Stegostoma tigrinum: one gene and its partner. The protein of the gene in region 2 binds, or shares a complex with, the protein of the main gene of each other region. Links are inferred from orthologs where the notes say so. Each region holds a gene or a part of one and is shown on either strand. Other genes may lie near its edges.

Region 1 (7,645 bases), on a different chromosome or scaffold from region 2:
GTAGTGTGATGAGTGTGTCAGGGTGTGTAGAATCATTCTGATGCCGTTCCTGTAGGCATCTGCAATCCAACCCCACCAAAGACATTTTTCCCTCCCCACTCTTATATGCTTTCCAGAGGGACCACTCTGTCCGTGTCTCCCTTGTCCACTCCACACTCCCCTCCAGCCCCACCATCCCCGCACTTTTCCCTGCAACAGAAGCAAGTGCTACACCTGCCTCTATACGTCACCCTGGTCCCAGGCTCTCAGAAGACTTCTCACATATACTGTATCCGCTAATCCCTCTACATTGGGGAAACCAAACGGAGGCTTGGGGACTGCTTTGCGGAACACCTACGCTCTGTTCGCAACAAACAACTACACCTCCCAGTCGCGAACCATTTCAATTCCTCCCACCCCCCCGCCAACCCGACTCCTCAGACAACATGTCCATCCTGGGCCTCCTGCATTGCCACAAATGACGCTACCCGAAAGATGCAGGAACAGCATCTCATATTTCGCTTGGGAGCCCTGCAGCCGAAGGGTATCAATGTGGACTTCACAAGCTTCAAAATCTCCCCTCCCCCGACCACATGCCAAAACCAGCCCAGTTAGTCCCCGCCTCCCTAACCATTCCTCCCACCTCAAGCCCCACCCCCATCCCCTACCCACTAACCTCGTCCCGCTCCCACCATACCCCACCCGTCCATCCTTCCTGGACTGACCTATCCCCCCCTAACTCCCCACCTACATTTACCTTCATTGGCTCTAACCCCACCTCTTTGATCTGTCTATCTCCTCTCACCCAATCTTCTCCTTTATCCATCTTCTATCCGCCTCCCCCTGTTTCTCTCTGTTAACCTGTGGAACACGTTTGCTGTAGAGGGCTGTGGAGGCCAAGTTATTAAGTGTGCTTAAATAAGAGAAAGATTGGTTCTTGAATAGTAAGGGAATCGAGGGTTACAGGAAGAAGACAGGAGAATGCTGTTGAGAAACATATCAGCCATGATTGAATAGCACAGTAAACCTAATGGGTCAATTGGTCTAATTCTGCTCCTATATCTTACAGTCTTGAAATAACATACTAAGAAATGATAGTATATTTGTAGAGAACGATGATATGCAATCTTTGGTGACAAAAATCCTAAATATAGAGCATCTCAACTATTTAAGTTGGAAGCAGCATTTTCATACTGTAGTCAGTCAAGTCATTCCTAACCCTTCATTATATGAACAAAATTTTTATACATTAAGTCATATATTACAGTATCCAGGAAATTCCTCAATAACATACCTTTCGTGTTCACAGTAGCAACGCATTTTGCAGTTCGGACATCCCAGATTCTAACCGTTTTGTCACCAGAGGCAGTTACAAAGAGATCTGCATTGGTTGGGTGCCAACAAAGTTGATCCACACTGTCACCATGACCACGATAATTATTCTCCTTAACCTGAAATACGCAAAAATGTTACATAAAGAAATAAGTGAACTGAATGCGAAATAAAAATGTTATAGCTGTATGATCCACTTTCTGTAAAGAAAGGTGGACTATATTTGTTGGTGAGTGAGTAGCTTTCCTGGAAATGAGTGTCACATTGGTTATTTCCCTGTGATGATGGCAAGTACAGTTGAAAATTTCTTCAAAGCATAGAAAACCATTTCTCACTCAGCACATCAACAAAATAACTATGCAGTCACGGTTAGTAATGAACACAATTTTATATCATGCCTCAATGTGAGAAAGGCAAAAGTGCAAACATTACCTTGTTTCAAATAACTGGTAGACATACAAAAAATTTACAGTTCATTTGTGACTTCCGAAGGGTATCAATTGGCTGACCTCATTCTTCATGAAAATTAAGATTAAAAGAAAAAAAAAGTGAAAGTGTGTACCGAAAATTCTCAGGAGTTCAGTCTCTGCTGATCAATTTCAATTATATGAGGTTCCCAAAAATCATAGAATCTCTAAAGTCTGGAAAGAGACCATACAGCCCATCAAACGTGCACCACCCTCTGGAGAGCATCCCACTTTATCCATATAACTATGAATTGACTACAGCTAACCAACTTAGCCTGCACACCTTCGGGCTATGGGACAAAACCAGAGCACCCAGCAGAACCCCACACAGTCACCCAAGGTTGGCACCAAAACCGGTCCACTGGCACTGAGGCGGACGTGTTACCATGGAGCCAGCACTTACATCCATGTTAGGTGGATGGGCCATGCTAAATTACCCCATAGTATCCAGGGATGTGTAGGCTGGGTGGGTTAGTCATCGTAAATGTGGGATTACGGGGAACAAGTTTGGGGTCAAGGTGGGATTCCTTCAGAGGGCAGAATAGCCTTTTCCCGCAGTGTAGGGATTCCAGGAGTTAAGGTTACTAAGTAGTCATGACGGGGAGAGAGACAGAAGTCGTTGGAAAAGCTCAGCCGGTCTGGCAGCATCTGAGGAAGGGTCACCGGACCCGAAAAGTTAACTGATTTTTTTTTCTTCACAGATGTTGCCAGACCTGCTGAGTTTTTCTGTTTTGTTTCTGATTTACAACATCCGCAGCCCTTTCGGTTTTTATGACAGGGGGTGCGGGGGGAAAGTAGAAACAGAACACCGAACGAGCACGGGTACGGGTGTCGGGGGGAGTGGGAGCATTTTGGAGGGCTTGTATTGGGGGTACTTTATCAGGTGCTGGATACTTTAGTGACGGAGGCCGGACGGCTTGTGTGCTGTGTGTGTGTGTGTGTGTGTGTGTTGGGGCAAGAGGGAGATAAACCGAGTTGAAGGTTGATTCCCCTCTCATCCTCTCTCTGTTTCATCTCGCCACTGACCAGCCGATCCTTCTCTAGCACAAACACACTAGCTGTTTTGTCGAAGGAGCCAGACGCGAGCCTGCGTCCATCGCAGCTCCAAGCCACCGAGTGCACCTTGGCCGTATGGGCCGAGAATTCCTTGGTGCGGCCGTTATTTTTGAAATGCTCCTGGGATTCCAGCAAGTAACTGGCTGCCGCCATCTTGCCGGCTCGGTCCACTCCTCTCACAATCTGGATGGGGGAGGCGTGAGCGAATGGTCACAGGGATTACTTGGTGACTGCAGACCTCGGGCACAACTGATACTTATGTCGTTTTAAAAATCATGTTTTCTCTCTAAACATATTTGAAAATGCAACCAGTTTTCATTTTTGAAAAGTTTGTGCTCTAAAATCCATCCCTGGAAAGAAATGGTACGGTCAGATATCACTTACTACTGTCTTAAAGGGGTAATGACCCTTTCACTGCATCTCTGAGATAACAACGTGTGAAACTGGATGAACACAGCAGGCCGAGCAGCATCTCAGGAGCACAAAAGCTGACGTTTCGGGCCTAGACCCTTCATCAGAGAGGGGGATGGGGAGAGGGTTCTGGAATAGAGAGGGGGAGGCGGACCGAAGATGGGTAGAGGAGAAGATAGGTGGAGAGAAGAGTATAGGTGGGGATTTGCGTTCATCCAGCTACACACTTTGTTATCTTGGATTCTCCAGAATCTGCAGTTCCCATTATCTCTGTTCATGCATTTCTGTTTGGTTCTTTCACAGGAGAGGGCTGTACAATCCTCACTCATAGATTCATAGAGTCATACCGCACAGCAACAGACCCTTCGGTCTGACTCATCCATGCCGATCAGATATCCTAAACTGATCAAGTCCCATTTACCAGCATTTAGCCCATATCCCTCTAAACACTTCTTATTCATGTACACATCCAGATGTCTTTAAGATGTTGTAATTGTACCAGACTCCACCACCTCCTCTGGCAGTTCATTCCAAACATGCACCACCCTCTGTGTGAAAAAGTTACCCTTCAGGTCTGTTTTAAATCTTTCCTCTCTTACCTTAAACCTATGCCCTCTAGTTTTGGATAACAAAGTGTGTAGCTGGATGAACACAGCAGGCCAAGCAGCATCTCAGGAGCACAAAAACTGACATTTTGGCTCTAGTTTTGGTCTCTTCCACCCTGGGCAAAAGACCTTGGCTATCCACGCTATCATGATCTTATAAACCTCTATAAGGTTAGCTGTCAGCCTCTAATGCTCCAGGGTAAAGCTAGGTAGGGGAAACTAAACCAGGGTTTTCATTCACCAACATCTGCTGAAAGTACACAAGTGTATACTTTAGGTGAGAGTTATAAAATGTTTCAAGTACAGCAAATTTAGATTGAGTACTGGAGGATGTCTATAATCCATGGAACTTTATTCTAAAGAAAAGAGGGGGAAAGCAGGAAAAAAATAATGTTAATATCAAAATAATAAAGTAGAACCAGCCTTGGTCAGAAAGGTTTTTGACAGTATGGTAAGTTCCCCTTCAGCCGATCATACCATACTGGCCGTGAAACATCCATCTATTCTATACCATTTTCCAGCACTTGGCTCTTGGCTTCATATGCAATGGTGTTTCAAGTTCCCATCAAAATTGTTCTTAAATGTCTTGAGAGTTTCTACCTCTGACTGTACCTCTAGGCGGTGAGTCTGGATGTCCACAATTCTCTAACCCTCTGGGTGGTTGTTTTCTAACCCTCTGGGTGAATGTCAGATGTGTACATTTAGGGGCAAATGTAGGAGCAACAAGCACAGAGGACCCTAGATGACTAGGAATATTCAGTACAGGATAAGAAGGAAAAGAGAGACTTTTAACAGCTTCAAAGGGAGCATATGACCAGAAGCTTCATTGCCCTAGTGTAGGAAGCACAAAGGGGGGATCTTAAGAAAGTAATTGGGAAACTAAAGAAGGGGCATGAGAAAATACTGGCAAGTAAGATTAAGGAGAATCCCAAGATGCTCTATAAGTATATTAGGGGGCAGAGGATTACCATGGAAAATTCAAGCCTTGCGACGGACCAAGGGGGCAATCTATGTGTGGAGTCAGAGGACATCAAATGAGTTTATAATGTTAAACATGTTAAATGAGTACTTCACTTCTGTCTCCTGACTGATAGATCAGTCCATACTAATTTTAACGGATTGCAGAAGCAGTAACAAAAAATACAATGTGCCCCTACTGTTTTGGATATTTGTTTATGGTAGAGGAAAACAATGTTCATGAGTAAAATTTTGGAAATATGACGGGACAAATTGATAACACTAAGTTTTCAAAAAACTGTAGTTATATATCAGGTCCCAGATCATAAAATCATCGATGACAGCCTTCCACCCTTCAAGTCTGCACTGACAAAAAAACTACTGTCAATAATGATCCCACTTTCCAGCACATGGTCCATCGTTTTGAATTTTTTGGCAGTTCAAGTCCTCAACCAAGTATTTTTTTCAAGGTAATAAGGTTTCTGATTGATTTTTCGGAAAAGAGTCTGTAATGTTTTTGAGCAGTTTGGCATAGGGAGTGATGAGACATTAGAGATTTTGGGAAGCTTTAAAATGAAGATATCCCCAGGTCCAGATGATTTGTATCCCAGGCTGCTGTGGAAGACAAAAGAGGAAATTACATTAGCTCTGACCCAAATATTAATTCCTGTATGACCTCAGTAGAGGTGTCAGAGGATTAGAGAACAACTAATGAGGTTGCACTTTTCAGGATGAGTTGGAGAGATGAACCAGGGAATTATAGAACATTGAGTCTCACATTAATGGTAGGAAACTATTGGAAAAAATTCTGAAAGAGAGAATCAATGTCTACTTCAAAAGGCAAAGTTTGATCAGGGATAGTCGGCACTTTAGAGGGAGATTCATATCTAACAAAATTTGATTGAATTTTTCAAAGAGGTGACGAGATGTGCGGATAAGGGTAGTGCATTTGATGTTTATGTGGATTTTAGCAAAGGTTTTGACAAGGTACCATGTGGGAAATTAATAAAGAAAATGAAAGTACATGGAATACGGTGCCTCACGGGCGGCTGCTGAGCAAGGTGAGGGCCCATGGTGTTCGAGGTGAGCTACTGGCTTGGGTTGAGGATAGGCTGTCTTACAGAAGGCAGAGAGTTGGGATAAAAGGCTCTTTTTTGGAATGGCAACCGGTGATGAGTGGTGTCCCGCAGGGTTCAGTGTTGGGGCCACAGCTGTTCACCTTGTATATTAATGATCTGGATGAAGGGACTGGGGGCATTCTGGCGAAGTTTGCCGATGATACAAAGATAGGTGGACAGGCAGGTAGTACTGAGGAGGTGGGGAAGCTGCAGAAAGATTTAGACAGTTTAGGAGAGTGGTCCAGGAAATGGCTGATGAAATTCAATGTGAGTAAATGTGAGATTTTGCACTTTGGAAAAAAGAATACAGGCATGGACTATTTTCTAAATGGTGAGAAAATTCGTAAAGCAGAATTGCAAAGGGATCTGGGAGTGTTGGTCTAGGATTCTGTAAAGGTTAACTTGCAGGTGGAGTCCGTGATTAAGAAAGCGTATGTAATGTTTTTGTTTATCTCAAGAGGGTTGGAATATAAAAGCAGCGATGTGCTTCTGAGGCTTTATAAAGTTCTAGTTAGGCCTCATTTAGAATACTGTGTCCAATTTTGGGCCCCACACCTCAGGAAGGACATACTAGCCCTGGAGCGTGTCCAGCGGAGATTCACACACATGATCCCTGGAATGGTAGGTTTAACGTATGATGAACGGCTAAGGATCCTGGGATTGTACTCATTACAGTTTAGAAGGTTGAGGGGAGATCTAATAGAAATTTACAAGATAATGTATGGCTTAGAAGGGGTGGACGCTAGGAAGTTGTTTCTGTTAGGTGGGGAGACTAGGACCCGTGTGCACAGCCTTAAAATTAGAGGGGGTAAATTTAAAACTGAAATGAGACGACATTTCTTCAGCCAGAGAGTAGTGGGCTTGTGGAATTCATTGCCACGGAGTGCAGTGGAGGCCAAGACGTTAGATGCCTTCCAGGCAGAGATCGACAAATTCTTGATCTCACAGGGAATCAAGGGCTACGGGGAGAGTGCAGGGAAGTGGAGTTGAAATGCCCATCAGCCATGATTTAAATGGCGGAATGGACTTGATGGGCCGAACGGCCTTACTTTCACTCCTATGTCTTATGGTCTTATGGATCTATGTAACTTGGCAATTTGGATCCAAAATTGGCTCAGCGTTCGGAGACAGAGGATAATGGTAAAATGTTGTTTGTGTGTTTGGAGGCCAGTGTCCATAGGGATCAGTATGGATTCCTTATTGTTTGTTACATGTAGACATGAGAGAGGATAAATTGTGGAAGGGGTGATAAGTCAGTTGGCAGATGATATGTAGATTGGCCGGATAGTTGACAGTGAGGAAGCAGTTCTTCGGTTACAAGGGGATATAGATGTATTGGCCAGATGGTAAATCAGTGGAATATAAACTGGATATGTTTGAGGTGATGCCCTTTGGAAGGAAGTAACAAGACAAAGGAGTACTCAATGAATGGCAGCTCAGAAACAGGGTTTTTGGGGTGTTTTATCCACAGGTGGCAGGACAGGTTAGTAAGGTAGTTAAAGCAAGTGGGACAACAAAGTGTCGAGCTGAATGAACACAGCAGGCCAAGCAGTATCCTAGGAGCACAAAAGCTGCCACATTAGCTGAAACGTCAGCTTTTGTGCTCCTAAGATGCTGCTTGGCCTGCTGTGTTCATCCAGCTCTACACTTTATCTCGGATTCTCCAGCATCTGCAGTTCCCATTATCTCTGAAGCAAATGGGACTTGCCTTTATCAGTTG
Region 2 (7,258 bases):
AAGAAGAGAGGGGAAGGCGGACCGAAGATGGATAGAGGAAAAGATAGGCGGAGAGGAGAGTATAGGTGGGGAGGTAGGGAGTGGATAGGTCACTCAGTGAACATGGTTTTTAAAACTAAAGCCATAAATTCGTTAGGCATGATTTTCACTTCATGAAACCATGCTGACACTCCTTGAAAGTGTTATTCACTCCTAAATACTTCACTATCACATCCTTTATAATGGGCTGTAATACTTTCTCAATTACAGATGTTAAGTTAACTGGCTTCTAGTTACACTTTTTTTTTGTCTCCTTTCCCTTCTAAAAAAAAGTGATACAATGGCAGTTTTTGATTCCTCTGCAACTTTTCCAGAATTTTAATGCTTTTTCATAGATTACTACCAGTGCATCAACTATCTCTGCACCTACTTCCTTTACCATTCTAGGAGGTAACCCATCAGATTCAGGGGACATATCAGCCTTTAGCCCCATTAATGTCCATAGACCTTTTCTTGAGTAATGATAGTTAATGTATTTATATCTTCTCCTCCCTCTGACCTTGATTATTTAGTACTTTTGTAATACAATTAGTCTCTTCTGCTGTGAAGACTTATACAAATTATTTAATCGACTCCTTTGCTACTCTTTGGTTCATGTTATTTCCCGAGCCTCATTCTCTAAGGAACAAATGTTCATCCAGTTATAGAGCCACACAGCATGGAAACAGACCCTTTGGTCTAACCAGTGCACATGTCCCAACATGTCCCCAAACTAATCTAGACCCACCCATCTATGCTTGGCCCATATCCCTCCAAACCTTTCCTACTCATGAACTCATCCAAAAGTATGTTAAACATTGTAACTGTACTTGTATCCACCACTGGCAGTTCATTCCACACACAAACCACTATCTGTGTAAAAAAGTTACACCTCATGTCCATTTTTAAATCCTTCTCCTCTCATCTTAAAAATATGTCCCTTAGTTTTGAACTCCCCCACCCGTGGAAAAGACCCTTGTCATTCACCTTATCAATGTGCCTCATGATTTGTAAACCTCAATAAGGTCACCATTTTGGCTTTTCACTTCCTTCTTATACATTTAAAGAAGCTCTTATGATCTGTTTTGACATTACATGCTAGTTTACCTCCAAAGCTTATTTTGTCTCTCATTTGTTCTTGATCATCTTTGTTGGTAATTAAAACCTAACCAATCCTCTAATTTCCCACTAATCCTTACCACATTGTAGCTTTTAAATCTGAAATTACCCTTTATTGGTTAACTACTTATTATTAGGTACAATACAGTATAATTGGCTCCACCATGAGCAATTGATGCGGTCTTTACATATTAAGTAGTTAAGTTCTTTTGTTAGCTTTGTGTCAAGCTCACCCCTTGTTCCTACTGCTGAAATCCTCATTCATATTTTGGTTAGCTGTTGCCCGTGTGTTAAATCAAACAAAATCCTTTTGCTTGCTGACCTACATTAGCTCCTTGTCAAAGAACATTGTTTGTAAAATTATAATCCTTGCCTTCAATTCCTCCATGGCCTCTGTAATCTCCTCCAGCCATACAATCTTTCAAGTTATCTGCACTCACCTAAATGCAGCTTCTTGACCATCCCCAATTCTAATTGCTTCACGGTTGTGGCTACACTTCAGACACCTCAGGCCTGTTGTATGAAATTTTCACTCTCTGCCTTGAAAACTCCCTTAAAACCTATCTCTTTGATCAAGGTTTTGTTTGTTTCATTTAATGTAGTTATGTATCATACTCTGAATTATACTTATCCATTGAACAGCCTTGGCACATTTTATCATTAGAGGTGCTAGATAAATGTAAGTAGTCAATGTCAAAAGTAATATTAACATTGTATACTTCACAGAGGATAATCAAACGTCCCAAATTTTATGCTTCTTCCCTATATTCCAGGCAATTGTCCTGTGTCTGAGGTTGATTGCTATCAATTTGGATCCAATTCAGTGGTTGAGACATAAAACCCAGAATAACTTTATTTTTGTTTAATCAGCCTGCTTAAACATGTAATGGCATAGTTCCTTAGGTAGGATGTGAACTCAGAGTTTCTGACCGCAAGGTAACCACTGTGGCACATTATCACTGCACTACAAGTGGCACGTGGTCTTCTTGTTGCTCCCCTTTTAAGTAAAAACTGACAGTGCTGGGGAAACTCATAAGGTCTGCCTGGATCTGCAGACAGACAATGAGAGTTCGAGTATCAATTCTGATGTGATTCTTCAGCAGAACTCTTCAGGCCCTCTTTTAAACATTTGCAGAACCCAGCCCCCACCCACTCCCACAGGATGTCCACGTTCTTCAAGGACCGCAACTTTCCCCCCCACAGTGGTCGAGAACACCCTTGACCACGTCTCCTGTATTTCCCGCAACACATCCCTCACACCCCACCCCCACAACAACCGCCCCAAGAGGATTCCCCTCGTTCTCACATACCACCCCACCAAACTCCGGATACAACGCATCGTCCTCCGACACTTCCACCATCTACAATCTGACCCCACCACCCAAGACATTTTTCCATCCCCACCCTTGTCTGCCTTCCGGAGAGACCACTCTCTCCGTGACTCCCTTGTCCGCTCCACACTCCCCTCCAACCCCACCACACCCGGCATCTTCCCCTGCAACCGCAGGAAGTGCTACACTTGCCCCCACACCTCACCCACATCCCAGGTCCCAAGATGACCTTCCACATTAAGCAGATGTCCACCTGCACATCTGCCAATGTGGTTTACTGTATCCATGGTACCCGGTGTGGCTTCCTCTACATTGGAGAAACCAAGCAGAGGCTTGGGGACCGCTTTGCAGAACACCTCCGCTCGGTTCACAATAAACAACCGCACCTCCCAGTCGCCAACCATTTTAACTCCCCCTCCCATTCCTCAGACGACATGTCCATAATGGGCCTCCTGCAGTGCCACAATGATGCCACCCGAAGGTTGCAAGAACAGCAACTCATATTCTGCTTGGGAACCCTGCAGCCCAATGGTATCAATGTGGACTTCACAAGCTTCAAAATCTCCCCTTCCCCCACTGCATCCCAAAACCAGGCCAGTTCTTCCCCTCCCCCCACCGCATCACAAAACCAGCCCAGCTCGTCCCCTCCACCCACTGCATCCCAAAACCAGTCCAGCCTGTCTCCGCTTCCCTAACCTGCTCTTCCTCTCACCCATCCCTTCCTCCCACCTCAAGCCGCACCTCCATTTCCTACCTACTAACCTTATCCCGCCTCCTTGACCTGTCCCCTCTCCACCTATCTTCTTTTCTCTCCATCTTCGGTCCTCCTCCCCCTCTCTCCCTATTTATTTCAGAACCCTCTCCCCATCCCCCTTTTCTGATGAAGGGTCTAGGCCCGAAACGTCAGCTTTTGTGCTCCTAAGATGCTGCTCGGCCTGCTGTGTTCATCCAGCCTCACATTTTGTTGTCTTATGCCTGAATATCACTTGGCTTTACTCTACTTCATAAGGAATCACACATGCAGGTTTTTCTTTTAGTTTCCTTTTATGAAGTGAATAATGTCGTTCTGAAAAAGGGTCAACTGGACCCGAAACCTTTCCTGCCTTATCTCCGTAGATGCTACCCGACCTACTGTGTTTCTCCAGCAATTACAGTAAACTGTGTGCAGAGTCTAACTTCTGAGTTTTACCTGCTATTGAAAAATTGGTATAATTAAAAATGTATGGTAGTTCATTAAAATTAATGCCAGTGGTTACTTTAACAGTTTATTCTTCCAGAGATTTTGCACTTGTTAAAAGGAATCCTAATCCCAGTGAGTGAACCAAAGTCAGTAACTGTATTTTTCCAGTGCGTAAGAGTCACACAAAACAAAGAAAAACTACACGCAATTCCTGACACTGTCCAGAAATACAATTTTATCCCTTGTACGCTGCTGATTAGTTTACCTCAATCGCCCTCAACAGGCAGGGAGGACTCTTCCCTCACTGCGAAAACAGCGCCCCCGGCAGTTGGGGAGGATTCCATTCCATCCATTGGTGCAGAAACAGCGCCCCCGGCAGTTGGGGAGGATTCCATTCCATCCATTGGTGCAGAAACAGCGCCCCCGGCAGTTGGGGAGGATTCCATTACATCCATTGGTGCAGAAACAGCGCCCCCGGCAGTTGGGGAGGATTCCATTCCATCCATTGGTGCAGAAACAGCGCCCCCGGCAGGTGGGGAGGGTCCCATTTCGTCCATTGGTGCAGAAACAGCGCCCCCGGCAGGTGAGGAGGTATAGTTTTCCCATTTCTTCCGCCTGGACCCCCGCCTCTCCTGTGGAAAGAGTTTCTCGGTCACTGTCCGATTGCTGGGGCCGGAAAGTTGTAATGTCCGCTGATTCGGCGAAGAAGCGAAAAACCAAAGTGATTCGGAGTGATGGCGGAACGGTGGAGAAGGAGAGCAGAAAGGCTCGGGGTGATGGAGACCAGGTGGGGAGAGGCTGAATCCGATGAGGCTAGGGTGCCGAGGCCTAGCCCGGCCCGACCTGTCCAGGCCAACACATTGAGCTGTTTGTTCACATACAATAAGCAGAAGGGGAGCCTAATCCCTCCTGACAGATACCTTGTTCCCCTGTGTAGGAATGACTGAACGTGAAGGGATATGAGAGCGCGAACATTTTATTTTATTGGACTTTTACCCGAAATTTCTGTTGAAACTGGTTGTGTTTGGGCTAAAGAGTATCTCAGTATCCTGTTGTCCTTTGAAAGTTGAAGTTAAAAGATAAATCTCCGCATCTGGAATTTTTTTTAATTTTAGGAGATATAATTTCAGTCTCGAGTGCTGGTATAATCAGCTGAACCGGACTAAAGTTGATTCAGTGTTTGAGCAGAAACCACAAATTTAAGAATCCTTCCTGATGTTATGTCCAACCCTTTCACATTTTATAATTCCTATTTGGCAATGTCACTTATTTAGCCACCTCAATGTACATCAGTAGTCATTATCAGTTACTGTTAATTGTTTGTAATTTCTATAAAACTGTAAAATACATGTATGTGTTCTTTATTAGGAGAGTAAAGTTTATAGTGAAGAGGCGGAAGTGGAGACACGAGACCCTGCTAAAGACTATGATATGTACAAGAAAACCTGTGAGGATCTCCAAAGGTTGATGGCTGAGATTCATGAATTAAAGAGTAAAGGAGGAAAAGATGCTGTAAGTGGCACTGAATTTATTTAAGTGAAAAAAAATCAAACACTGTGCTGAAAATCTCAGCTGAAAGTAGAAATTACTGGAAATTCTAAATCTGGAGTAGCTATGGTTAGAAGAAGAGAGGTAATGTTTCAGGCTGATAATCTTTCACCAGAGTTGATAGATCATTGAGCTGAAATGTCAACTCTTCCCTCAATTCAAGGATGCTGCCAGACTGCTGAGTATGTACAGCATGTTCTGTTTTTATTTACATTTTAATCTTTTTCCCCAGGTAAGTAGCAAGAGCAGTGAATCGCACATTCACGTCTATATTGTTTTTAAAACTTACTATAATTCAATTTGGTAGTCTAATATAGTTCCTAACTGGCCTTAGATGTTAAAACTAGACGGGCTGTAAAGGAATGAGAAGGCAGGTCAGTAAAGGCGGCACGGTGGCTCAGTGGTTAGCACTGCAGCCTCACAGCGCCGGGATCCGTGTTCGATTCCAGCTTCGGGTAACTGTCTGTGCAGAGTTTGCACATTCTCCCCGTGTCTGCATGGGTTTCCTCCGGGTGCTCCGGTTTCCTCCCACAATCCAAAGACATGCAAGCTAGGTGGATCGGCCATGTTAAATTTCCCGTAGTGTTAAGGGGTGTGTGGGTTATAGGGGGATGGGTCTGGGTGGGATGCTCCAAGGGGCGGTGTGGACTTGTTGGGCCAAAGGGCCTGTTTCCACACTGTAGGGAATCTAATCTAATCTAAAGGGTTGGGTATTTAACACCTGATGCTTGCTGAACTGCTGCTGGAAGAAATTTTAAGAACTATGGACATAATACAGAATAGTATTGTATGTATTTTTTGGATGTCATAATTTTGCTTCTGTGTTTTTATCTGTAAATAAAAATTGAATAATGGTGTAACAGAGTGATGTGGCCTGCTGTCAGAAGAGATAGTAAAATGAAGGAAATGTCTTGGGTATTTTCTCATGGTAAGCTGACTCCTTGAACCACTGCAGTTCCTCTGATACAGATATAGCTGCAGAGCTGTTGGAGAAGCAGTTCCAGGATGTTGACCCAGCAAAAGAATGATAAGGTATTGCAGCAGGTGTATGCCATATGGCCTATTGAGTCTGATCTGCATCGACTATATGAACTAGGCACAAGAATAGGCTACAGATCCTGCTCTACCATTCGATAAGGTTATGGCTGATCTAATTTTAACCTCAACTTTGCATTCTTGCATACCCTGGATAATCCTTCTTTCCCTTGGTAATCAATCTGCCATTCGATGAGATCATGGCAGAGCTGCCACTCCTGAACTGCACTTCCCCCATAACCCTTGATTCCCTTACTGATTAAAATTTTGTCTATCTCTGCTTTGCACATTCTTAACAACCTAGCCTCTGTGGTAAAGAATACCACAGATTAAACATTTTCTGAGAGAAAAGATTTCTTCACATCTCTGTCCTAAATGAGCAGCCCCTTGCTCTGACATTATGAGCAATGATATTTTTCTGGAGCAGCGATGTGTTTCCAAAACATCATGGTGAGTGATTTGGAAGATAATCTGTAAGTGGTGATGTTTCCATGTATCTGCTGTCCCGGTTTCTAAATGTTCAAGGTTGTAGGTTTGGAGACAAATGCTGTTAAAGGAGTGTTGATTTGCTGCAGTGCACCTTGTAAATAGTATACATTGCTTTCACTGCACATCGTTGGTGGAGGGAGTGATTGTCTAAGGTATTAACAGTGGTGTCAGTCAAGTAGGCTGCTTTGTCCTGGATGATGTTAAGCTTCTTGAGTGTTGTTGGAGCAGCACCATTTCAGGCAAATGGTGTCCTTTGAGAGTTTTCATTTATACCTTGTGCACGATGACAGACATTGGGGAGACAGATGGGTTACTTGTTGCAGAATTCCCTGTTCTCATAGCCACAATATAAACATTGATGGCAGGTCCAGTTCAGCATGTGGGCCTTGGTAACCCTCTGGATACTCGTAACCTACAAACCTTTGACTCAGCGATGACAATGTGGCTAACTGTGCCATGTTCACACTTTGAGGAGCTGTTAGCTGAAGATGTAAATGAAAATTAATCAAATATAATTGAAAAATCAGTAATAGGAAGA

What was found. The genes of interacting proteins can lie anywhere in the genome.
Region 1: thoc5 (region 2) and thoc3 share a complex: the UniProt entries of both Homo sapiens proteins name them as parts of the transcription/export (TREX) complex. The link is inferred for Stegostoma tigrinum from reciprocal best matches to the Homo sapiens genes THOC5 and THOC3.

What each region holds. Positions count from the first base shown.
Region 1 is NC_081366.1:46,164,174-46,171,818, reverse strand, and holds the start of thoc3 (THO complex subunit 3), read right to left. Parts: upstream 3,003-7,645; 5' UTR 2,988-3,002; coding exon 2,805-2,987; intron 1,431-2,804; coding exon 1,274-1,430; intron 1-1,273. UniProt on the Homo sapiens protein: Component of the THO subcomplex of the TREX complex which is thought to couple mRNA transcription, processing and nuclear export, and which specifically associates with spliced mRNA and not with unspliced pre-mRNA.
Region 2 is NC_081379.1:20,913,739-20,920,996, forward strand, and holds the start of thoc5 (THO complex subunit 5 homolog), read left to right. Parts: upstream 1-4,257; 5' UTR 4,258-4,333; coding exon 4,334-4,435; intron 4,436-5,016; coding exon 5,017-5,160; intron 5,161-7,258. UniProt on the Homo sapiens protein: Component of the THO subcomplex of the TREX complex which is thought to couple mRNA transcription, processing and nuclear export, and which specifically associates with spliced mRNA and not with unspliced pre-mRNA.